Linked DNA regions of Mus musculus. The protein of the gene in region 1 interacts with the protein of each later gene in a pairwise test. Links are inferred from orthologs where the notes say so. Each region holds a gene or a part of one and is shown in the gene's direction. Other genes may lie near its edges. The genes, in order: Sec22a, Sftpc, Tmem79, Eda, Dtx2 and Erlin1.

What was found.
Region 2: the proteins of Sec22a (region 1) and Sftpc interact in binary tests that used the Homo sapiens proteins (3 or more experiments, as listed by UniProt). The two-hybrid records come from large-scale screens. The link is inferred for Mus musculus from reciprocal best matches to the Homo sapiens genes SEC22A and SFTPC.
Region 3: the proteins of Sec22a (region 1) and Tmem79 interact in binary tests that used the Homo sapiens proteins (3 or more experiments, as listed by UniProt). The two-hybrid records come from large-scale screens. The link is inferred for Mus musculus from reciprocal best matches to the Homo sapiens genes SEC22A and TMEM79.
Region 4: the proteins of Sec22a (region 1) and Eda interact in binary tests that used the Homo sapiens proteins (3 or more experiments, as listed by UniProt). The two-hybrid records come from large-scale screens. The link is inferred for Mus musculus from reciprocal best matches to the Homo sapiens genes SEC22A and EDA.
Region 5: the proteins of Sec22a (region 1) and Dtx2 interact in binary tests that used the Homo sapiens proteins (3 or more experiments, as listed by UniProt). The two-hybrid records come from large-scale screens. The link is inferred for Mus musculus from reciprocal best matches to the Homo sapiens genes SEC22A and DTX2.
Region 6: the proteins of Sec22a (region 1) and Erlin1 interact in binary tests that used the Homo sapiens proteins (3 or more experiments, as listed by UniProt). The two-hybrid records come from large-scale screens. The link is inferred for Mus musculus from reciprocal best matches to the Homo sapiens genes SEC22A and ERLIN1.

Annotation. Positions count from the first base shown.
Region 1 is NC_000082.6:35,361,119-35,365,326, reverse strand, and holds the start of Sec22a (vesicle-trafficking protein SEC22a), read left to right. Parts: upstream 1-1,408; 5' UTR 1,409-1,503; exon of another isoform or gene 1,504-1,821; coding exon of another isoform or gene 1,822-1,852; intron 1,853-3,567; coding exon of another isoform or gene 3,568-3,584; coding exon 3,585-3,766; intron 3,767-4,208. UniProt on the Homo sapiens protein: May be involved in vesicle transport between the ER and the Golgi complex.
Region 2 is NC_000080.6:70,521,282-70,525,416, reverse strand, and holds the start of Sftpc (pulmonary surfactant-associated protein C), read left to right. Parts: upstream 1-1,335; 5' UTR 1,336-1,373; coding exon 1,374-1,415; intron 1,416-2,643; coding exon 2,644-2,802; intron 2,803-3,140; coding exon 3,141-3,263; intron 3,264-3,501; coding exon 3,502-3,612; intron 3,613-3,944; coding exon 3,945-4,091; 3' UTR 4,092-4,100; intron 4,101-4,135. UniProt on the Homo sapiens protein: Pulmonary surfactant associated proteins promote alveolar stability by lowering the surface tension at the air-liquid interface in the peripheral air spaces.
Region 3 is NC_000069.6:88,331,634-88,335,785, reverse strand, and holds the start of Tmem79 (transmembrane protein 79), read left to right. Parts: upstream 1-1,352; 5' UTR 1,353-1,404; intron 1,405-1,456; exon of another isoform or gene 1,457-1,678; intron 1,679-2,103; 5' UTR 2,104-2,146; coding exon 2,147-2,894; intron 2,895-3,132; coding exon 3,133-3,346; intron 3,347-4,152.
Region 4 is NC_000086.7:100,388,106-100,391,605, forward strand, and holds part of Eda (ectodysplasin-A), read left to right. Parts: intron 1-1,596; coding exon 1,597-1,776; intron 1,777-3,235; coding exon 3,236-3,270; intron 3,271-3,500. UniProt on the Homo sapiens protein: Cytokine which is involved in epithelial-mesenchymal signaling during morphogenesis of ectodermal organs. Functions as a ligand activating the DEATH-domain containing receptors EDAR and EDA2R. May also play a role in cell adhesion.
Region 5 is NC_000071.6:136,011,800-136,015,299, forward strand, and holds part of Dtx2 (probable E3 ubiquitin-protein ligase DTX2), read left to right. Parts: intron 1-211; coding exon 212-848; intron 849-2,805; exon of another isoform or gene 2,806-3,500. UniProt on the Homo sapiens protein: Regulator of Notch signaling, a signaling pathway involved in cell-cell communications that regulates a broad spectrum of cell-fate determinations.
Region 6 is NC_000085.6:44,059,786-44,063,285, reverse strand, and holds part of Erlin1 (erlin-1), read left to right. Parts: intron 1-220; coding exon 221-267; intron 268-1,381; coding exon 1,382-1,443; intron 1,444-3,500. UniProt on the Homo sapiens protein: Component of the ERLIN1/ERLIN2 complex which mediates the endoplasmic reticulum-associated degradation (ERAD) of inositol 1,4,5-trisphosphate receptors (IP3Rs).

The DNA of each region.
Region 1 (4,208 bases):
ATGAACTCCACCTATGATTTATTAATATCTTGAAATTGTCCATCTCTTTCTGCCTCTACTGCCATTATCTTTGTTTAAGCCACCATCATTTGTGGCCTTGACCAATACAACTGCCTCCAAACTGGCCCATCAGTAACCCTTCTTGCTCCCTATCCATCCATCTCCATAAACAGCAAAATGAGCTTTAAAATATGTAAATCAGATCCTACTTAAGAATCTTTATTAGCTCTGTGAATTGATCTTAGGGTGTGTTGCTGAAGTCTGAACTGTATAAAGTAGCCAAAGAGAGTTAGACCTTGCCTCATCTCAGCCTAAACTTCTTGCCCCTACATACTTTCTGCTTTAGGCTTTTTATTGATGAAATTAACCATAGTGACCAAAGGCAACTGGGTGTGGAAAGGATTTATTTCATCTACGAAAAGAAGTGAGGGCAGGAGCTCAAGGCAGGGATCTGGACAGGAAGTGAGGCAGAAGTCATGGAGGAGTGCTGCTTACTAGCTTGCTCCCCATTGCTTGCTCAGCCTACTTTCTGGTACAACATAGAACTACCTGCACTGGGGTGAAGACCGCCCACATTGGGCGGGGCTCTCCTGTATCATCGTCAATCAAGGCAATATCCTACACACTTGCCCACTAGGCTAATTTTACAGAGGGTTTATCAAGATTCCTTCTTCTAGCTATGTGAAGGTTTCTGTCGAGTTGACAGAAACCAACCATCACGACTTCCTAGTACAGTTAAATGCTCACAAATCATGTTTCCAGGGTCTAGAACATTTTTAAGGGTCCCTTAATATACCTTGACCTTAAAAGGTACGTAATCATGGAGCTCTTCCCCGACAGTCCACAACTCATTCATCAATGTACCTATTAGTTTTTCTTCACAGTACCAGTCAAATGTACATTTCTGTAACAATTTACCTTAATGCCTTTTATTCCTATTACACCTTAAAAGGAGTGCTGTGGACATTCCTGTAAAACATGCTTAAGATGCTGCCGACCATTTAATTGACATTCAGCATATCCTTGTTTAATAATACTTAACCTCGTGAAGGCTGGGAGGAGCTACTGAGGCTTTTCTCTCTGTTTTGCTAAGTTTCTTTGTGTAGTGCCTGATGGAAGAAGATCCTTTCCCTGTTCACCAGAGAGAGCTTTTCCTCTGTCCCGAGTGGCGCACGAGAGACAAACTGCTTCCCGACACAAAGCAGCAGGTGAAGGAGATTAGCCTTATTTCCGAAGGACAGCATAATTCTCTTCTTAGAAGAGAAGGCAATCTCCTGGCGCAGGTGCAGGAAAACCTGCCAATCTCCGCCGGAGGAGGCGGGGATAGGGCGGGCCTCGGAAAGGGGCGGGTCTTTGGATGCTTCCCACGGCGTCCGATAGGCCCGTGCGAGCTCCGCCGGCGCCAGCCACGTTGGACGCGGGCATCCCCGCTGGAAGGCCACTCCCGGCCCCACAATGCACTGCGTGGCACGTCACTCCGAGCCGCGGGTCCCGGAGCGACAGGTATGGCCCGGCCCCTCTTTTCAGCTTCCTCTGGGTCTCCCGGAGCTCTGGCCGGCTGCTCGCGCCGCTCTCTCGGAGTTCCACCTCGGCTTGACCGGTAGTTGTCCGAGCCGGAGCTTGGTGGCGGTGGCCTCAGAGCTTAGGAGGACGGGCGTGCAGGGTCCGAGTCCCTGCGACCTAGGGCTGCGAGCCTCGCGGGCGGCGGTTGCTGTTTAGCAGGCCTGTCCTAGGATGGGCGGCTGGAGTAGGGGCTGCTGACGGGGAGGGACGGCCGTCCCGGGCTGCCAGCGAGCCGTAGTGTTGACTCCCTGGCTCCCGATGTCAGCAGCACACCGACTCACTCGGGCTGGTAGGTGGCCCGAGAGAGCTTGAGGTGGCATTCCTACTTTCTTTTGGGCGGGGTAGCTTGTACCCTGTGATTTGTGAAGTCTGAATGGGCGTTGCAGTTGGACATCTTACTCGTTGGCTCTGGGAAATCCCGTGAGGCCCTGTTTTAAAGGTGCTTTGCGACTCTCTGTGGCAGAAAAGAGACCTGAGAAATTGGCTCCACAAGTGGGGAGTCTCCTGCTGCTTAGCTTCCGGGATCACCATCACCTGGGGGCAGGTGGAACTCTTCAGAACCCGCCCCTCCTGTGCTTAACCCTGGGCAGAGCCTGGGTGTCCCGCCAGGCTACACGTGATAGAATCCCAGCGGATTAGTACAACCACCATTTTTTTAAAAAACGGAATCACATTCCATGTTACTGGTACCCACTCGTTTGCCAGTACCGTGAGAAGTCGGTTTCTTAAACAATACTTAGAACTTCTAGTGTGTAAAGGAAGACTTGAGAGCTGAACCTGACACCCGTAACCAAAAGTTACTAAAGGATCGGCCGTTTCCACTTAAGAAGATCACATCAGTTTAGTACTTGATTTTTAGAGACTGGGTAAAGTTTAAGTATATTTTAGTTTGGTGTATGAAAAGACACTAGCAAAGAGATACTTGCCACCTTCCTCTCCATGTAGTAACGAAGCCTGGGTATGTTTAGAGGCAGTGTCTTATAGAGTTATTAGAGTTAGTAACAACTTATTACTTACTAGGGGTTGAACAAATGACTTAAGCTTTTGGAACCTGTGTTTCTTCCAAAGCAAAGTGAAACAAATACCCAACCTTACCGGTTCCCGGAAGGTTCAAATGAGGTGTATGAAGTGGATCTTAAATTCAATTAAAAAAAAAAGATAGGTAACTCCTATAATATTCTGTCATATTGTACCTCTGGGCACTGTAGGCAGGTCATTATTAGAGCTTGCAGGGTTCGTAGTTGGGTGAAATGGATGGCTGCCTTTCTCCAGTCACTTGCATAGCAACTTGTAGCACTATGAACACTGACCAGTAGGGGTGAAGCATATGTGTGCCACAGCATAGGTATGCAGGTCAAAGGATAACCTAAGGTATTGGTTCTTGCCTTCCCACCTTGTTTGAGACAGGGTCTCTTGTTCACTGCAATATACCAGGTGATCTGTCCTCAGAGCTTCTGGGAACTCTTTGTGTCTCCAATTCCCATCTACCTGTAGGAGCCCTGGATTATAGATATCTCCTCATATAACCACGTCTCAATTTTTCTTGTGTTCTGGAAAGCCAAACTCCCGTCATCAGATGGCTTGCCCTACAAGTGTTACCATTCAGCCATCTTCCCAGCTTGCAAATGCTGTTTTTACAAGCTTGTTTGGTAGTGGGAGAGATGGCTCAGTGGTTAAGAGCTTTAGTTACTCTTGCAGAAGACTCTAGTACCCCCATAGCTGCTCACAACTATCTGCAACTCTAGTTCCAACATATCAAGTTCTTCCTCTCTGTTCTCCAAGAGCACCGGGCATGCACATGGTGCGCGTACATACATGTGGACAGACACTCATACACATAAAATAAGTTACATATTTTTAAAAAATGTGTTAATTGGAAGGTTCTTGGAATATATTGTGTTGTTATCTTAATACTCTGATTATTACTAATTGTGAAAGTTGTATAAATGCTTACCAGTTTTGGCCTTGATTTTTATTTAATTCAGATTTCTCATTTTATTTTAGGTCTTCTGTGGGTTGAAATGTCTATGATTTTGTCTGCCTCAGTCATTCGTGTGAGGGATGGACTACCGCTGTCTGCATCCACTGATTATGAGCAGAGCACAGGAATGCAGGAGTGCAGAAAGTACTTTAAGATGCTGTCCAGGAAACTTGCTCAATTTCCTGATAGATGTACACTGAAAACGGGGCGCTATAACATTAAGTAAGACCTCAGTTTGGTTCGCTAGAGTCAGTTGCCTGTAGGTTGCCATTTTCATGAAATGTAAATGGTTGCAAGAAAACCTCATGTTTGAGTGACTCTGAGAAACTTGAAGTCAACATTCATGTTCTGAACTTACCTTAAATAGTAGTCATGATGTTATTAACCTTTTGTCTTTGCAGAGTCTCTGGATTGGATTCTGGCTTTAGAAGACTTTATATAAGTTTTTCAGATAGTGCTTCCTGTAAATTGCTCGATAACTATTTAGTAGAGTTTTCACATGCACAAGATTGTAGCAAGCAAATTGTAATGGAAAATGTTAAGTACAGTTTTATCCTACAGTTTTATCCTTTAAGACTGGGCAATAGGATAGAGTGTGACTTTACCCTGTGCTGACTGCATCCTTCAGGAAGAATGATATTTGACCCGAACCTTTAAAAATGAA
Region 2 (4,135 bases), on another chromosome or scaffold:
GGAAAGATGAGCACTGGTTAGGAGCACTGGCTGCTCTTCCAGAGGACCCATGCTTGACACTCAGCACCCGTATGGAAGTTGGAAACGCTCTGTAACTCCAGTTCCAGAGGATCTGATGTCCTTTTCTGACCTCCAAGGGCACCAGACATTCAGGTGGTACAGAGACAAACACGCAGGCAAAACACTCATCCACATCAAATAAACATAAATAAGTCTTTAAAAGGGAATTGGAGGCATGTATCCAACCCCAAGTTGAAAGGGTACAGGCAATCCCAGATCGCTGATAGATGTGACTTAGTACCCCGAAGCACAGGAGAGGATTTGGGGAAAGAGAGAAGGCAGCAATGAGGAGAAGGAGGAAGAGGAGGAGGTCATGAAAGTGAATGGAATTTGGTGAAATCACATTGGGTTCCTTTAGAAGTTATTATAAAAAGGAGCACAGAAGGGTAGATAGGGCAGTAGAGGGGCAGAGATGGCTGGGACCACACTCAATCCTGGGCAAGGTCATCTTGGCTTAAGAAAATGTCAGGGGCTGGGGATGTGGCTCAGCAGTAGAGGGCTTCCCAAGCATGCTCATGATCCTAAGCGTGATCCTCAGCACCAGGAGGCAAAGGGTGATAAGGGTATATAGAGTAAGCCATCAGAGCATCCAACATACAGACAACGCCAAAGCAAAGAGTGAAACGGTACTCAACACCCATGAGCAATAATTTCCCATCAGTAGGGACAGTTTCCAGAGTTAGGAAGACAGGAGCAAATCTGAGGATAGGAATGGCACGTGTGGGAGAAGGTGGGGTAAAGGGCAGTCTGACCCTAAGGAACCATGCTAATGGACCCCAGGTGCTGTCCCAAGCTCTGTTCCTCCACCACCCTCCTCTCCAGCCCCATCAACAAGCGCCACTTTCTCAGTCCCTGAGTGGAACTCGTGTCTGAGCCTGGGGAGGTTATCTTGAGGCGAGGGACGGCCAGATTTCTTGGCTGCCACCTGAACAGTTTGGGCTGTGAGAAGAAGAGAAGCCACAGGGCTGCAGGGGCAGGTGCCAGCAAGAGAGGCAGACATGCCAGAAAGACACCCACGGTGAGAGGAGCAGGTGGCCCGAGGGTGAGTTTGCTTACCTCACCCAGGTTTGCTCTTGTTGGGGCCAAGAGGATTCATGTGCCTAGGCCAAGGGCCCTTGGGGGCTCTTGCAGCTGCCTTATCGGGGCCTGGGCTCTGAAAAGCCAGGAACAAACAAGCTACAAAGCCAAGGACTTGGCTGGCAGACAGGAGGCCCAGTCCTTCACCCCTGTCCTCTCTGTCTCTGATGATATATATAAGACACTGGTCACACCAGAGAGATGAGGAGAGGAGAGAGAGAGAGAAACCTTACAAAATGGACATGAGTAGCAAAGAGGTCCTGATGGAGAGTCCACCGGTGAGTGTGATTGTGTGTGTGTGTGTGTGTGTGCGCGCGCGCATACATAGTATACTGGACTTGACTGTCCATCCTCCAGTAGGCTTTTTTTCTTTTTCTAGACCCATATACTCAATTAGCTTAGGATTGGGCTTTTAGGATAGAGATACCGTGATCATTAAGAGTCCCTGGTAGAGGCAGGCACGACGACCACGAATTCCTGTATAAAGGGATTGAGAGCCACAGAGGGGTCAATAGAAAGTCCTGTGAAGAACACTGATAGCACCACCATGTAGTTGGGAGGCTACAGGAAGTACCACAGAGCAAATGACAGTGAGGCTGGGATGTAGATCAGTAGCTAGAGCACTTTGCAAACGTGGAGACCTGGGTTCAGTCCCCAGTACCACATAATCCAGGCATAGAGGTGCACACTGTTTGGAAATATAAGCAAGATAATCATTCAGGGTCATCCTTAGATATATAAGGAGTTGAAAGGCAGCCTGGGTCATAGATATGGTTTTTTTCTTTAAAAAAAAAAAAAGGATGGCTCAGTAGGTAGTGGTGCTTGCCACCAAATGTGGCGGCTCGAGTTTAATCTCTGGAATTCACATGATGAAAGGAGATGAAAGTTGTCCCTGACTTACACACACACATGTACATACACACTCACACATACTACACACATGTACACAAACATTCACACTCACACCACATACACACACTCTCACACACACCACACACATGTGCACACACACACACACACATGTACCTTCACACACATCACACACATGCACACTCAAACATACCACACACATGTATACACGCTCACACACTAAATAAGTGTAAAAAACCATGAAGCTGGCACATGGACTGGATTGAGAAGGAACAAAGGAGACCCGTGTAAAGGTATAGAGACAGGGCTACCTGGATCCTTTGAGGGAGCAAAAACTCAGGATATGTCTGGGGTGTTAGGCGTCGTGGGAAAACAGAAGAAGAGATCGGTAGCTGGCTCTCTTGGATTATTTCAAACCTAGACTTTGCTTCTAACTTTCTAAGTAGCTATGGTTTTGTTAGGGTCCAACCACCTTCCCCAAAGCCTTCCTTCCCAAAAGCCTCTGATCTCCCCAGCTCTTCCTTGCACACTCGTAGCCTAAAGAGGTACGGGATGTGTGTGTCCCCCTTGCACAGGGAGAGTAGGAGCCACCCTCTCCACTACCCACTTGTCTCTCTGCTTCCCTTGCTCTCTCAGGATTACTCGGCAGGTCCCAGGAGCCAGTTCCGCATCCCCTGCTGTCCCGTGCACCTCAAACGCCTTCTCATCGTGGTTGTGGTGGTGGTCCTCGTTGTCGTGGTGATTGTAGGGGCTCTGCTCATGGGCCTCCACATGAGTCAAAAACATACTGAGATGGTGAGTGGGCCTGGGTTGGGCAAAGAGGCACAGCAGACAGGGGGTTGGGGGAGATTATGGGGGGATGGGCAGCTGTTCGGGAGGAAGAGAAGGGAGTGGACAGGTATGAGCACATCTTGGGTGACACAAACAGAGACGAGGTAGCCATCCTGCCTAGATCCTCTCCCCCAGGCCCCGGCCTAGTGTGATAACCATCGATTGCTCTGACACCTCTTACGTTTAGCCTTCCTGAGATCTCAGGAAAGCGTTTGAATAGAGGATTCTGAGTAGATATGGGTACCGAAAGGCTGAGGGAAGAAAGAGAAATACCAGGCAGCATTCCAACACCCTTCCCCTAGGTCCTTGAGATGAGCATCGGAGCACCGGAAACTCAGAAACGCCTAGCCCCGAGTGAGCGAGCAGACACCATCGCTACCTTTTCCATCGGCTCCACTGGCATCGTTGTGTATGACTACCAGCGGGTGAGGATGCCGGAGGGACCACCGGGACTTTATTGGAACTAGCCAGTTGTAGCATTTCTAGAGGTCTCTCCCCATTCTGTGCCTGGCTACCTCACCTCAGATGCTCGAACCACTGACGCAAGTGCGCCCCTCCACCCTCTGAAGACAATCTAAAGGAAGTTGGTTGGCTGAGAACTAGGGTTGGGGAGGAAGCAAGGCAAGGGGACCTTGTGAATGACCTCCAGGGTTTTATACCTAGCTCCTGACGGCCTATAAGCCAGCTCCAGGAACCTACTGCTACATCATGAAGATGGCTCCAGAGAGCATCCCTAGTCTTGAGGCTTTCGCTAGAAAACTCCAGAACTTCCAGGTGGGTATGTTAGGGAGGGAGGGAGCAGTCTCCCTCTGAGGGTTGAGTAGAGGGACATGTGAAAGGATGACTAGCGTACCCTGTGTAGTATTGATGTTTCTGGATCAGACATGTTCTCCTCTCTCCATGGACCTGTGTCCTGCCATCCCTACCAGCTCTCAGGTGGCCCTGCTAAGTTGTTGGCCTTGGCTGAGCTTAGACATGACCTATGGGCTTCTACATCCAACCCAGTCCCTCTCTGAATTTGTGAGGAAACTGATCCTCGAGAATTACCAACTTAGTGTCCCACACTAAATAAAGCAGGTGACATTGAAAGTAGGTGTTCTTTCCAGGCCAAGCCCTCCACACCCACCTCTAAGCTGGGCCAGGAGGAAGGGCATGATACTGGTTCCGAGTCCGATTCTTCCGGGAGAGACCTGGCTTTCCTAGGCCTTGCTGTGAGCACCCTGTGTGGAGAGCTACCACTCTACTATATCTAGCATCCACAGGTGAGCAACAGTACCTTTCAGGGTGCCTGGGCAAC
Region 3 (4,152 bases), on another chromosome or scaffold:
ACCGTAGAGTGCAAAGCTCGCCATGGGACAGCTAGGTGCTGGAGAAGTGACTACCCACATGGCAGCTCACAACCATCTGAAACTCCAGCTCCAGGGGGTCCGAAACCCTCATACAGACATGTTTAGAGGCAAAACGCCAAAGTGCATAAAATAATAAAACGAATGGGCCAGCTATCATTGAATCAGACATCGTTGCAGAAGAGGGGCAGCGAAAAGATTTTAAGATCCGGAGGTTGTGGAGATCGGCATGCACAAGGTCAAGTCAGCTGCCAAAATCCCAGCGCGCCTGAGGGGTGGCTCCTGAAGTTGCTTGTTTTTTAAAGGAATTCTTCCCGAGAGAGTTATTTATTTATATTTTGTGGGTGCATGCATACAACATACACGTGGCCAGAGAACTTGGGAGAGTCAGTTTTCTTTTAAAAGTGTGGTTCTCTGGGGAATCAGACTCAGGTAGTCAGGCTTGGTGAGCCATCTTGTCAGCCCTATTGTTTTCCTAACTATAAGGCGGATCTTTGGGGTTCTCTCTCTCTCTCTCTCTCCACATTATAATGGCAATGTATATACCACTATGCTCCTGGCTCCAGCCACCAAGTCTCCTTTCTATTCCTCAAACTGCCTCAAGTCTTTTTCCATCTGTTGGCTGCGCTGTTCCTCTACAGGGAACTTCCACTGGGTTTCAGCTTCAGTCACCCTAAAGAGGCTCTCACTACTGAAATTCTACTACTGATTTGGTGTGAACTTTAATGTTGGTTACCTGAACAGCTAGAAACCTTGTCACTTTGTTCTTTTCTGTACATGTGCCTAGACTAGCACTTTTTTTGTTTGTTGGAGTGTGTGTGTGTGTGTGTGTGTGTGTGTGTGTGTGAGAGAGAGAGAGAGAGAGAGAGAGAGAGTCTCTACATAACTCTGGCTGCTGGACCAGCCTGGCTTCAGACTCAGAAATCTGCCTGCCTCTGCCTCATGTGCTGGGATTAAAGGCTTGTACCACCACAGAAATAGCGCCTCATTAATAATAGATACCCAATAAACATTTACTGGATGAACAAACTTGCAGTGTCATCTTTTAGCCAATTTACTCTGAGCACCCTTTGATACACAAACCCACTTTTATACCCTGATGCTTCCCTGAGCTGGAAGCTCTTACAGATCCCAGAATACATTAAGTCCACACCTCTGTGCCCAGCTGCACCCTTACTTTCAAAAAGGATGACGTCCTCCTGTAGAGTCCTTCCAGTAGGCAGATTCTGTAGGGCAGGGCCTGCGCCTTTAATCTGGGCCCCACCCGCTCTGGTCAGACAGGTTTGGAGACACAGGCAAGGGAGGGAAACTGGGAAATACTTGCAGAGCCAGCCAGGAGCTAGGCAGCTCCTTTCCGGAGATCCTCCGCCTCTTTGCAGATGGAAAGTAAGAGGGTATCATGGATCCAAAGGGCAGGGGTAGGAGGGGCCCAAGAGGTGAACGAAGGGAGCCCAATCCAGAAGCTGTGAGCTGGAGGGTGGCAGGGGAGGAAACAAGAGGAAGGCTTGGGAACGGCCACACTAGAGCTGGGAGTCTGAGTGGAGCCCAGCCCAGCTGAATCGGGTGAGACTGGCAATGGGAGAGTTCAGAAAATGACCGACTCCTGGAATGGAGACTGAGGAACCGAGATCTGGTGTCGAGTTCCTGGAGGGACCTGCAGGTCAAAGGGCAGGTGGAAGGAAGGGGGAAGGGCCAATTTCTCTATCTATAGGGTGACCCTTGGCTGTAGAGAAACTCCGCCTAGTCCTAGACACCTCAGCCTCCCATTCCAAAGCCAGGGTGGCCAAAAATCCGGGAGTTTTAGTGGAGAGAGTAGAAGGCAGGTGTGGGTATAGACAGGCCACACCTGCCTCTGCTTGTGCCCCCTGACTCACCCTTGTCCTGCTGGATGACATTTATTTTGAAAGGGATCCTCCATTTCGCTCCTCTGCTGCCCGCCCGCCTCTCTGTTTCAACACCTTCCTCCCCACAGTGTTCTCCCTAGAGTCCCATGAGGCCAGCTTCTCTGGGGAGTTCTAGGTCTGAGAAACTGTCCTGGGGCCAGAAGACTAGGTATTCTCACAGAACTTCTCCCACTGCCTATAGGATGACATCGTTCTGTGGTAGCCCTCGGAACTGAAGCCTCACAATGACAGAACCGGAGACACTGGCCCTGCTGGACATGAAGGAACCCGAGACTCCAGAGAAGAGCCCACCGCAGGCTTTAGTCCTGCAGTCAGAGGAAGAAGGTGGGACTGAGTCCCCTGGAACTGAGTCGCTCAGAGTGGGGTCTTCAGTAGGGTCTCCTATAGTCAGAGAGGGGCCTGAGGATGGTCCAGACAGCACAATAAGTGAGGCTGCCACTTTACCCTGGGGAACTGACCCCCATCCTAGCGCCCCACTTCCGGATCCCCCGGGCTGGCGAGATATTGAACCAGAGCCCCTAGAGTCAGAGGCACCTACTAAGTCGGAGGAGCCATTCAAAGAGGATGCCAACCTGCTCCCCGAGAAGACAGTTAGGGCCTTCGTGCCCATTGATCTACAGTGCATCGAGCGGAAGCCACAGGAGGAGCGCATCCTGCATCGCGACGCTGGACCAGGCGAGCTCAGGAATTTCCTGCCAGCTCGACTCAGCCACCCTGAGCCCCCAGAGCGCAAGTGGGCTGAGGCCGTGGTGAGACCCCCTGGCCGGTCCTGCGGGGGCTGTGGAAGCTGTGGAGGTCGTGAGGCACTGAGAGCTGTCGCCTCGGTGGTGGCGGCCCTCATCTTCTTCCCCTGTCTGCTGTACGGAGCATACGCCTTCCTGCCTTTCGATGCCCCGAGGCTGCCCACCATGAGCTCCCGCTTGGTTTACACCCTTCGCTGTGGGGTCTTTGCCACCTTTCCCATCGTACTCGGTGAGTCTGGCCCCGTGGAGAAGGGCTACCTGGGAAGTGGATTACAGAGCTTTCGACTGGGTGGTTTCTCTTCATTCTGCTGGAACCACTCAGGGTATCCTGAACCTGCCACTCTCTGTCCTCTCCTCCAGGGAGCTCTTGTGTCCACTCTGTAGCCCCGACCCAAAGAGCTATCTTCTGGGAAACCCATCCCAACCTTCCTGCCTTTTCTGATCCCATGTGCTTACCCTCTTGATAGGGCTCCTTGTGTACGGGCTGAGCCTATTGTGCTTTTCTGCGCTTCGGCCCTTCGGCGAGCCGAGGCGGGAAGTGGAGATCCACCGGCAGTACGTGGCCCAGTCTGTGCAGCTCTTCATCCTCTACTTCTTTAACCTGGCTGTGCTTTCCACCTATCTGCCCCAGGACACCCTCAAGCTGCTCCCGCTGCTCACCGGTCTCTTTGCCATATCTCGGTGAGTCGGGCGGGGGCTGGGGTGGCCATGGCTGGGGTAGGCATGAGGAAGACATGATTCCAGATCCTCCAGGGAGCTGAAGGTCTGCAAACCTGAGGTCGGGGATGGGAGTCGGGGTGGGGTGTTTCTGGATGTGCACCAGGCAGTGATGAGCTTGCTGTCTGTTGAGCTACACTGGGTAGCAGTTGGTCTCAGAGCCATGGCAATGGGGAGCTTTTGACTTTTTTTTAGTATAGTGTTGAATCCATTGCCTTGCGTACTCTAACCTCATTTGTCATTTAGTGTGTTCACTGAAGCTACTTTACTCTGAAACTCTCCATCCAAATAGCTTTAAGAATTGGCCTCTAACTGGGCGTGGTGGTGCACGCCTTTAATCCCAGAATTTGGGAGACAGAGGCAGGCGGATTTCTTAGTTCGAGGCCAGCCTGGTCTACAGAGTGAGTTCCAGGACAGCCAGGGCTACACGGAGAAACCCTGTCTCGAAACAAACAATCAAAAAAAAAAAAAAAAAGAAAGAAAAGAAAGGAAAGAAGGAAGGGAGGGAGGGAGGGAGGGAGGGAGGGAGGGAGGGAGGGAGAGAGAGAGAGAGAGAGAGAGAGAGAGAGAGAGAGAGAGAGAGAAAGAAAGAGGGGCTGGTGAGATGGCTCAGTGGGTAAGAGCACCTGACTGCTCTTCCGAAGGTCCAGAGTTCAAATCCCAGCAACCACATGGTGTCTCACAACCATCCTAACGAGATCTGGTGCCCTCTTTTGGAGTGACTGAAGACAGCTACAGTGTAGTTACATATAATAAATAAATAAATCTTT
Region 4 (3,500 bases), on another chromosome or scaffold:
ATAGTGACACCCCCTGGGCAGGTGGTTGTATAAGAAAGCAGGCTGAACAAGCCATGGGGAGCAAGCCAGTGAGAAGTCTTCCTCTGTATTCTCGGCTTCGGTTCCTACGTCCAGGTTCCTGCCTTGCGCTGCTACTTTGTCTTCCCTCAAAGGACTGTGACTCAGTGTATATAAGCAAAAAGGAAACAAAACAAACAAGACCGCACCTTCTTTCCTACGTTGTTTTTGGTCATGATGTTTACTGTAGAAACTCTTAAGACAAAAGGTAAAGAAATTTATATTTGAAATTGAGAAACTGTCTCAGGAGAGAACATTGTAAAAGATTTCCAATCCTGGGACTCCCATTAAAATTCTAAGACAGGAGAACTTAGAGAAAGAAGCCTACCCATGACCACCTATAGTCCTTTGGTTAGTCTGCTCAAAAGAGAACAAGTCTATAGGAGGAACAGTTATGATCCACTTACCATGACTACAGCCTAGAGGAACTGTTAGAAGGACTAGAATATGAAATGGGAGGGCTGAGATTGTTCTGGAAAGACAGTGAGAGAGAAAGGAGGAAAGGTTGGTAGACAGGATAAATAGTAGTGCATTTGAAAATACAGCCTCTAAAGAAAATCTCGGGGAAGGTGGATTGTTTGGCCTGCAATGATAGAAATTGATAGGTAACCTAATATCTTTGAGCATATGAAGTTTTATGTACATGGTGCTAACTAGTCTTCTCTAGCTACTCAAAAAATAGAATAAAATTTCAAACGGCCACAGTTAAATATACCAAAGAACTTCCTAACCGTGAGCAGTGAGGGGTGATCAACTCTGGAACATGTAACCAAGAGAGTTTGCAAAATTTCTGTTCTCAGTGATCTTTAAAAATAGAGTTTAGAGAGGTCAGCTGAGAAAGCAGAGCCTGCCGCCTCTGTCAGGTGTCTCTCTCTGCCTGTGATTCCTTCTTTTCTGTTGTTTCTTGATATCTTCAGTCTCTCACCCTATCTCTCCACCTCCATTTCCAAAACTCCTTCCCACTCCTCTTTTCAGCCAGTGCTGCCCCTATCCATCCCCATGTCCTGCACATCTGACTCCTGACAAATCTTCCTGGAGCTGATGGTGTTCCTGAGATCAGACTTCCACTATCCTTTGGTTAATAGTAGCAAGTCTGTGCAATTGAACAGCTAAATGAAGTCCTGCCAATGATGCCAATGATAGTATTACCAATGATAATCAAATTCTAAAAAGAATCATGAAGTGACCCCTAAGTCTGAGTTTCTAATAGTCCTTTGGACTCAGATCAGAACCTCCTTTTTGAAGTCTTGCCTGACCTGTTTCAGCATTTGGTCTGCCTCATTAATGTGGCACTCTTAATATCTTAGAACATTTTCCCTACTATGCTGGGCTCCTTGAGAACTGTTTATTTCTGTGTCCTCTAATCTATTTGGAAATATGGTGCAGAAAAGGGATTATAAGCATGTCCAGCTCTTCAGCAAAAACTAGATGGCTGACTTGGTGTCATTGAAGTCTCTAGAACTCCCTGAAATTATACTCCTGACTATACAGTCTTGACAGTAACTAACTCCAAATATAACACTGAATCCTGTGTTTTAGGAAAGAAGGCAGGGCCACCTGGGCCCAACGGCCCCCCAGGACCTCCAGGACCTCCGGGACCCCAGGGACCTCCAGGGATTCCAGGAATTCCTGGGATTCCAGGAACAACTGTTATGGGACCACCTGGCCCACCTGGCCCTCCTGGTCCTCAAGGACCCCCTGGCCTCCAAGGACCTTCTGGTGAGTTCTTCTGTCTCCCACCCCTTAGAAAACTTTTCATTGCTTTTGTAGAGTAGAAACAGATAATCTTCAGAGAATTTTCAAACAGTGGCAATGTGCAGTAAGAAATCCCTAGTCTAGTGTAGAGGTGGAAAGTGAACAAGCTCTGATAGTGTCTGGCCTGCTCTAAGTCTTGTTGAGTTCAAGCTGCGCCAGACAGGCCATCTGTTCTTGCCCCATGCCAATCCTTCCATCCCATTCCATCTTTGGCTCTAGTCCTTCATATAGTGAGCCAATAAGCTCATATGAGCCAAAAACAGAGGTATGAGAAAGAGGTCCCAGCCATTCACTGGAGTTCCTGTAGATATAGATTTGGCTTACTCTGATTTCCAGCATAGAGTACCACATGACATTTGCATGGAAATAGTTTGTGGGAGGAATGTTGGGGACTGGACAAAATGACAACCCTATTATAATGTCTTTCCATGTACTTTGAGACTCCTTGCCTAGTGGTGTAGAAATAGCCCCTTCTAGTCGAGTGGTTAGAAATGTATGAATCACTCAAGCTGTGTCTAACAAAACCAGACACCAAGACCACCCTGTCCCTAAGCCAAATGTGTCTCACACTAGACCCTTAAATAACCATGCTGCTCGTTTAAATGCCATTCCATCCCTTTGCCTTTTTCTCCTAGCGCCCAGTGGGGCATGCAACAGGTATAGCTGCAGATCCAATCCTACCTAATTAGAGTTGACAGGAGGAAGACGGCCTGAACTCATGCTACTTGTTACATTTTTCTCCTGCTCCCCTCCTCTATCTTGAGGTTTTCTTAAACTTAATTTCCCCAGGTCTAAGAATTCAGCAGCAGGATTCAGATTCTTTCACTTGTAATTCAAACAGGCTCAGCAGTGTTACCATGGCCACAAGAGATAAAAGTTTTTTTTTAAACCCAATCATTCCACAAATATTAATTGAACAATTTCTGTGTACAAAGAGATACATTGCTAAGTGGTCCCTGTTCTCATAGAGTTTATTTCCTAGAGTCAAAGAGACACACTTAAAGAAACAAGATCTTTATAAATGACAGTGGCTCTTGTGAAATCAGTAAGAAGAGAACAAAGAGCTAGAAAAGCAAGTGCCATTGTTTTAAGGACATACAATGACACACATAGCCTCTCTTTCCTCTCTGTGGGTGCTCAATGGGGCTTGCCTTGAGCCAATATTGGCCAGAGGCCAACTTCCCTGCTGGGATCTAGACCCTCTGAAGAAGATGGTCGGTAGGGACAGGAATGGGAAGGAGGGGATACTCTCTCCCATCAACAGCCCCATGTTGTACTATGACTCCCTCCAGCTGTAAGGCCTGGAGAAGGAAATTCCTACAGGGCTGGCTGTGGAATCCAGGCTCTGGAGCCCTGGCTGCTGAAATGGGAAAGGGAAGTAGAAAAGAGCACAGCACTCTGACTGCCCCATCCTATTTTGCAGGTGCTGCTGATAAAACTGGAACTCGGGAAAATCAGGTTGGCTGGGGATTACTGTCTTCCTGGGGAGGAGGGATGGCCTCAGGCTTGGGGTCACCTTGAAGTCCTTTGCCTATGAGATTCCCAGAGGCTTTATTTGATGTCGTACTGGAGGGTCTGAGGTTTTCACGGGCAGCCGTTGCCGATACCTATGAATTGGAAAGGTTCGCCCTAAGGATGTGCTTTTAGCTAAAGGAACACAAGTCTTGCCTGGACCATTTTACTCATTT
Region 5 (3,500 bases), on another chromosome or scaffold:
TAAACATATATAGACAAACACACATACAAATACAGTCATGCATACAAAACACAAAAGCACACAGACATGTTGACATCATGGTCGTGCTGTGGTGTCACATGGTCACACACACATACCCACGGAAACATGGGTGTGGCCCTGTGCACTTAAAGTGTTAGCGTGTGGAACAGCAGGAGGGTTCTCATTTATGGGTCCTGCTCCTTCCCTACAGGCACCATGAGGTCTGTGCGCAGACACCTGTTCTCACAGAATTCTGCCCCAGGCCAGGGCATCGTCTGGGAGTGGCTGGGCGATGACGGATCCTGGGTAGCCTATGAAGCTAGAATCTGTGACTATCTGGAACAGCAAGTGGCCCGGGGCATCCAGGTCGTGGACTTGGCACCACTGGGGTATAACTATACTGTCAACTATGCCACCCTAACCCAAACCAACAAGACTTCCAGCTTCTGCCGGAGTGTGCGACGCCAAGTGGGGCCAGTTTACCCAGTGACTTCAGACATCGCTGTTCCACGCCAAATGGGACTTATCTGCTTTTGCCAACAGTGCCTCCATGGTAGCGGAACTGGCCCTGTGTCGGGCCGCTACCGCCACTCCATGACCAACCTGCCTGCATATCCTGCCCCCCAAGCACCCCACCGGACCACCACTGTCTCTGGGGCCCACCAGGCCTTTGCCCCATACAATAAACCTTCACTGTCTGGGGCCAGATCTGCACCAAGGTTGAACACCACCAACCCCTGGGCTGCAGCACCTCCTGTTGCAGGCAACCAGTCCCTGTTCCACTCCAGCCTCTCCCACCTGGGGCCTCAGCTCCTGCCCTCAGGACCGTCCACCTCCAGTGGAGCCAGGTACCTCCCAGTGCGGACTTTACTTCTACCCGTGTGGAAAGCCTCTCCCTCACCCTTGCAACTCCACGTTTGCCCCGTGTTGTCTTTTGCAAGTGCCACTTGTGTGCTGAGCCTCCTTGGTTTCCCACTTTGACGTCCCATGGAGCTACCATGCCATGGCACTTTGATTGTCAGCAGTCTTTTAATCTTTTTAACTTTTGTATATTTTTGATGATATGGTCTCATGTAGCTCAAGGTGGCCTCTAAATCCCCTGTATAGCTGAGGACAGTCTTGAACTTCTCTGATCCTCTCTCTTGTCTCTGCCTCTCCAGTGCTAGATGATCCAACCCAGGGCTTCGGCATCCAGGCAAGCACTTGACCACCAAGCACAGCCTCAACTCCGTTGTTGTTTTTTGTTTTTTGGTTTTTTGGTTTGTTTGTTTGTTTGTTTTTGTTTTTGTTTTTTTTTCAAAACAGGGTTTCTCTGTGTATCCCTGGCTGTCCTGGAACTCACTCTGTAGACCACACTGGCCTCGAACTCAGAAATCCACCTCCTCTGCCTCCCAAGTGCTGGGATTAAAGGCGTGTGCCATCACTGCCTGGCTGTTTTTTGTTTTTGTTTTTGTTTTTTTTAAAAACATACAAGTTCTGTCGGCCAGGCTGACCCAGAACTCAGTATGTCGCGGTGCCCTTGAATCTTCAACAGGCTTCCTGCCTCAGGCTCAGGGTTGGGATTAGAGGCCATTACCAGGACGCAACAGTCCTTTCTCAGGGTCCTAGGGTGCGGCAGACCTTTGCCTTGACTTATGTACTGCCTGAGGGGCTCTGTGCTCTGAGGATACTTTGCCTTGTGGCGGGCAGTGCAGATATGGGGGTGGAAACAGCAGCTCTAACCCTGAGCCCACAGTTAGTTCTGAGGAGCCCAGGGTAAGTGGGAAAGATGGAAGGCGTGGGATATAAAATGCCGAGAAAGGTGATGATATCCAAGGTCCATCCCAACCAGGCAGTACACTTTTAGTTCTGAGCGTCTGGGCTCTGCGCTTGCCCACTGGGTCTACATTGCACTGAGCCCCAGCTTTGCCTGCTGAACAGCTGAGGCTGGCCTGGACTTTGCTCTTTCTGTCTCAGTCTTCCAGGGGTTGGGGTTATAGCTTATGCCCTCATGCAAAGCCAGGTGGAGTTTTGCTGTTGTGGTTTGGTTTGATGGGTTTGTGTTTTGTTTTTAAGCGTGTGTGGTGGTTTGCCTGTACTGTGTGCACATGCTTGCCTGGTGCCGGGAGAGGATGTCACATCCCCTAGAACTGGAGTTGTGAGTCACCGTGTGGTCCTGGGAATTGAACCTGAATCCTCTGGAAGAGCAGCCATTGCTTTTAACTGTGAGCCATCTCTCCAGCCCCCAAGTCAGATTGTTTTTTTGTTTTTTGTTTCTTTTCCTTTTTGTTCAAGACAGGGTTTCTCTGTATAGCCCTGGCTGTCCTGGGACTCCGTTTTAGATGTTTTTTTTGTTTTTTGTTTCTCCCCGAGACAGGGTTTCTCTGTGTAGCCCTGGCTGTCCTTGGAACTCACTCTGTAGACCAGGCTGGCCTCAAACTCAGAAATCCGCCTGCCTCTGCCTCCCAAGAGCTAGGATTAAAGGCGTGCACCACCACGCCCCGGCTTTACCACCTTTGTGTGTGTGTGTGTGTGTGTGAGTGTGTGAGAGTGTGAGTGAGTGAGAGAGAGAGAGAATGCATGCCAGCAAGTACAGGTGCCACAGTGCCCCGTGTGAGCTAGTTCCTCCTACCATGCATGGCTCTGGGATTAAACTCGGGTTGTCAGGCTTGGCTGGAGTCTTCTCTACCCACTGAACCATCTCAGCTCTGACTAGTGTTTGCTATTGTTGTGTTTGTTTGTTTTTATTTTATTTTAAAATTTTGTTTTGTTTTTAGAAAAAGTCTCTCTGTTTATTTCAGGCTGGCCTGGAATTCTCCATCCTCTTTTCCTTCTCTGTTAGAGCACTAAGCAGTCACTCCATCATCCTCAGCACCACCACTAAAAAAAACCAAAAAAGGTGCTGGCACACACAGGCATTTTAGAAAACCCACCCGAACAATGCGAGCTACCCAGGGCTTTGATACCTTGGCAAGCTTTATTCTTTAAGCTTGTGACATGGGCAGGGATGGCCATCAGAGATGTCCACTTAGAGTCTGCAGATGAGGACCTGCAGGTTGGCTTAGCACTAGAATGACTTATCTAGAATCTTCCTTTCTTGGGGCATGACTCAGTGGCAGATCTTCTGCCTAGAATTCCCCAGTGAGAGTCTGGGTGTGGCTCAGTGGTATACACTCTGCCTAGCATGGTGCCTAGGTGCCCGCCAGCTCCCTAAAAAGAGAAGCAGTTAGTTGTGTGGGGCGCGTAGGCACTGGGGCTGGCCTGAGTGTGCGGAGGAGGGGCCTGCTGGCCAGGGGAGAGTTGAGGGCCTGGATCACTGGCCTCCAGGCGGCTGTCTCCAGAGTTGGGCATGCGTACGTCCTCTGGGACACGTGGGTCTGTCTCCCTGGGAACAGGGAGTCCAGATAGGCCTCACTGGGTCCTGTGCAGGCTTTACATGGACACAGGCCTGCAGGGCTCCCCGGGACGTCCCTCTCTCTCTTGCTACTTAGGCTTAGTGTGTGGGCCAGTCCTTCAGGGAA
Region 6 (3,500 bases), on another chromosome or scaffold:
AGCCGGGTGTGGTGGTGCACGCCTTTAATCCCAGCACTCGGGAGGCAGAGGCAGGTGGATTTCTGAGTTCAAGGCCAGCCTGGTCTACAAAGTGAGTTCCAGGACAGCCAGGGCTATACAGAGAAACCCTGTCTTGAAAAACCAAAAAAAAAAAAAAGAAGAAGTACACACTAAAAAAAATAAATAAAAATAAATTTTGATGAGCTATTTTTTTTTCCAGACAACACTACAAACGGATGAAGTTAAAAATGTGCCTTGTGGAACAAGGTAAGCTCCCTCCTTTGTGGCCCATCGCTCTTTTCTTTCTACAGTACCGAGGAAGTTCTTAGAGCTGGAGTCACTTGAGAAACCTTGGTTTGCATTTTGTTTTGTTTTGTTTTTGAATCATACAGACTCTTATTATGTGGCCCTGGCTGGCCTAAGACTTAGTATGTAGACTAGGCTGGCTTCAAACTTGGAATAACCCTACTGCCTCTGCTTCCTGAAACCCTAAAATTATAGGTATATGTCACCATGCCTGACTATGACACTACTATATAGACATGACAGCAACAGAAACTTCTGTGCTATGAGTTATTTTCATGAGGCTGCAAGTGAGAGCATTCCAGCTGAGGGTATTATTGAAATGGAGTTTCAGAGCTAGCAGACTAATTATATATTAGCATTATCACACCCGAGTTGCTATTTTAATTGACAGGAAAATGAAGCAGAAAGTATAGGCTCCACATAGCCTTTGCCCTCCTCTGATACCTTGGTTAGCTTCTCTAAGCTGAGTTCTCTTAAGTCTGGGAATAAGACCTATGTTAGAATTATTGTAAGGATTAGAATTTGTGTATATGGCCCAGAACTTGGATCTGAATTGATGTTCGATAAAAGATTACTTAAAACAAAATCATTTCACTTCTTCTCTTTATAATGTTAAATGACATCTGAGAGTTTCTGAGTCAATAAGTAGGTCTTTAATAGAATTTATGTTTCTAATGAAGTTCCTGATTACACTGTCGGTCTAGAGGCCTCTAAGAATTGTCCTAAAAAGGTTGAGGCCAAGAAAGGAAACAAGGCTGGTATAGCACTAAAATATACTTACTGTATTAATTGTATCAAGTGAGGACTGATAAGGATGAGGTAGGCTTTAATTCATTACCTAGTTTAAATGATGTAAAGTATTGCTTTTACAAACCTACTAAGGTACCTTTGACATCTATAGAAGGACAGATACATTTGAAAAGGGACCAAGCTCTCTTATGTTCTAAGTCAAGTTCTCCCTACGTTTTAAGTTAGATTATCAAGTTCTCCCTAGGTCTGTCTGTAACTTCTTTATTGTACTTTATTATTTTTATTGTGGCTCTGACTCACACTTTCCATTTTTGTTTGTTTTCAGTGGTGGAGTCATGATCTATATTGACCGAATAGAAGTGGTTAATATGTTGGCTCCTTATGCAGGTAATCTTAACTATCTGCTGTGATTCTATACTTATAACCAGGGCATTTACAACTGAGGAGGGAGAGGAAGATACTTTTTAAAGTTTTACTCCCTCAGTGAGTTCTGATGACTATAAAAGAATGATCATGCAAGGATTTTCATTTGCAGGAAATAGAGGTACAAGCAGGTCACAAGTTCTGGACAGAATTGGTTTTCAGGAACCAGTGAGCCAGTCCTCTCTGAATTTACTATTTCTGAAAGCAAATGTTTCTAGAAAAAGAAAATGGCACTGTATCCAGCTTGTTGGGGAAGAATTTCTTTGTATCCTGAAGACCTATAATTGATCAATTTTCTTGGGTCACACTCATTTGCCATTTTCTGGTTGTGATTTGCCATAACTTGCAAAGCAGTCTGAAAATTGGTAGTACACGGAAGCATTTTCTTAATAAAAGATGAACACCTCAGAGATAAAGTGGATGCATGTTATTTTAAAAAAGTTTGGCTGTGGAGAGAGATGGCTCAGTCTGCAAAACATTTGTTGTGTAAGCTTGAGGACCAGAATTCAGTCCTGAGTGCCCATGAGCTTAGTAGACTGGCATGCACTTGATATCCCAGTGCTGAGGCAGAGTCAGGGAGGTCCCTGAGGCGCAGAGGCCAGCCACTCTACCCTAACTAGTGAGAGACCTACAGATGACACCTGAGATTGATTTGTGGTCCGAGAGTGTGTGTGTGTGTGTCATGTGAACATATAAGAACTTAATTGCAAATTTTGAAGATATCTGGTCTTCATTCTTGTTAACAAATTGGCATGCCTTGTGTTTTTCAAGAACGTCAAAAAAGTGAAGATGGTAGCCTCCGCCTTCAAGGTGTTTTCATTGTACTTGAGAAGACATGGTAGAAAGGGGAAAACGTACATTGAAGTACAGGGTCATGTTAAAGTTCATATCACTTGTACAGACACAGATAGGAGAAAGATTTCAGAGTAAAGAGTTGCAAGTATATTATTGGCAAGTGGCTTTGAATGATATTTTTTGACTGTTATTTTTCTCGTGGTTTCTCATCTACAGTCAGCCTTCCGTATCTGTGAATTGTACATCCACAGGTCCAACCGAACACACATCAAACATTGAGGGGAAAAGCTGGTTCTATACTAAACATATGTGGACTTCCCTCCCCCCCATCATCATTCCCCAAACTGTTCAGTGTAGTAACTATATTAGATACCGTATAATCACCTAGACATGATAAAGTATACAGGAGTATATACAGTTTACATGCAGATACTACTTAGTTTAATAGAAGAGGCTTAGGCATTTGTAGACTGCAGGCTCTCCAGAGGATCTTGGAAGCAGTGCTCCCACAGAGAGCAACAAGTGACTGACTGTGTTCTCTGATCACAAACCACTGGAATGGATATGATTCAGAACTGACAAAGAGGAAAGTGGACGAATCTCCCTGGAGACAGGCAGGAGAGTTTTAGCTCACTGGCTTATTTGGAAGCTGATGAGATCATATATTTAGCAGTTATTTATCAACAAATGTTTCATCAACTATGACTTAGAGTCCGGTTGTATCTAATATCCTATGTAGGAGGCCAGTGGAGCAAATGTTTGGATATGAAAACGAATGTAGAAAGCATGTTTTATAGTTAGAACACAGGTTCTGACGCAGACTGGTATGTTACCTTTGGGGATATTTCTGAAAGTTTCTGGTTCTTAGTTTCCTGAGATAGAAAATTAGGAGGAGGGGTAATTAAACACCAATGTATGTAAATTGTCTAAAGTCCACCCTAGTAAATGTTGCCTCCTTCCCTGATACCCCAGAGTCTTTTAAAAATATAAGCCTTTAAAAACTGCTTAAGAATTTTTAAGTTAGCATATAGAGTAATGGATTTTATTATGTCATTTTCACGCATGTCATTATTCTTTATTTTTGTGAACTCCCATCCCCCGTATGTCCTGTCTCCTCCAGCTGGTTCCCTCCTAGATAATGCCCCCTTCTTCCATGTCATGTGTATTTCATTGCTCTTACCTTTCTTCCTTCCTTCAACCACTCCTTTGCCTTTCGTGAGCCTCTT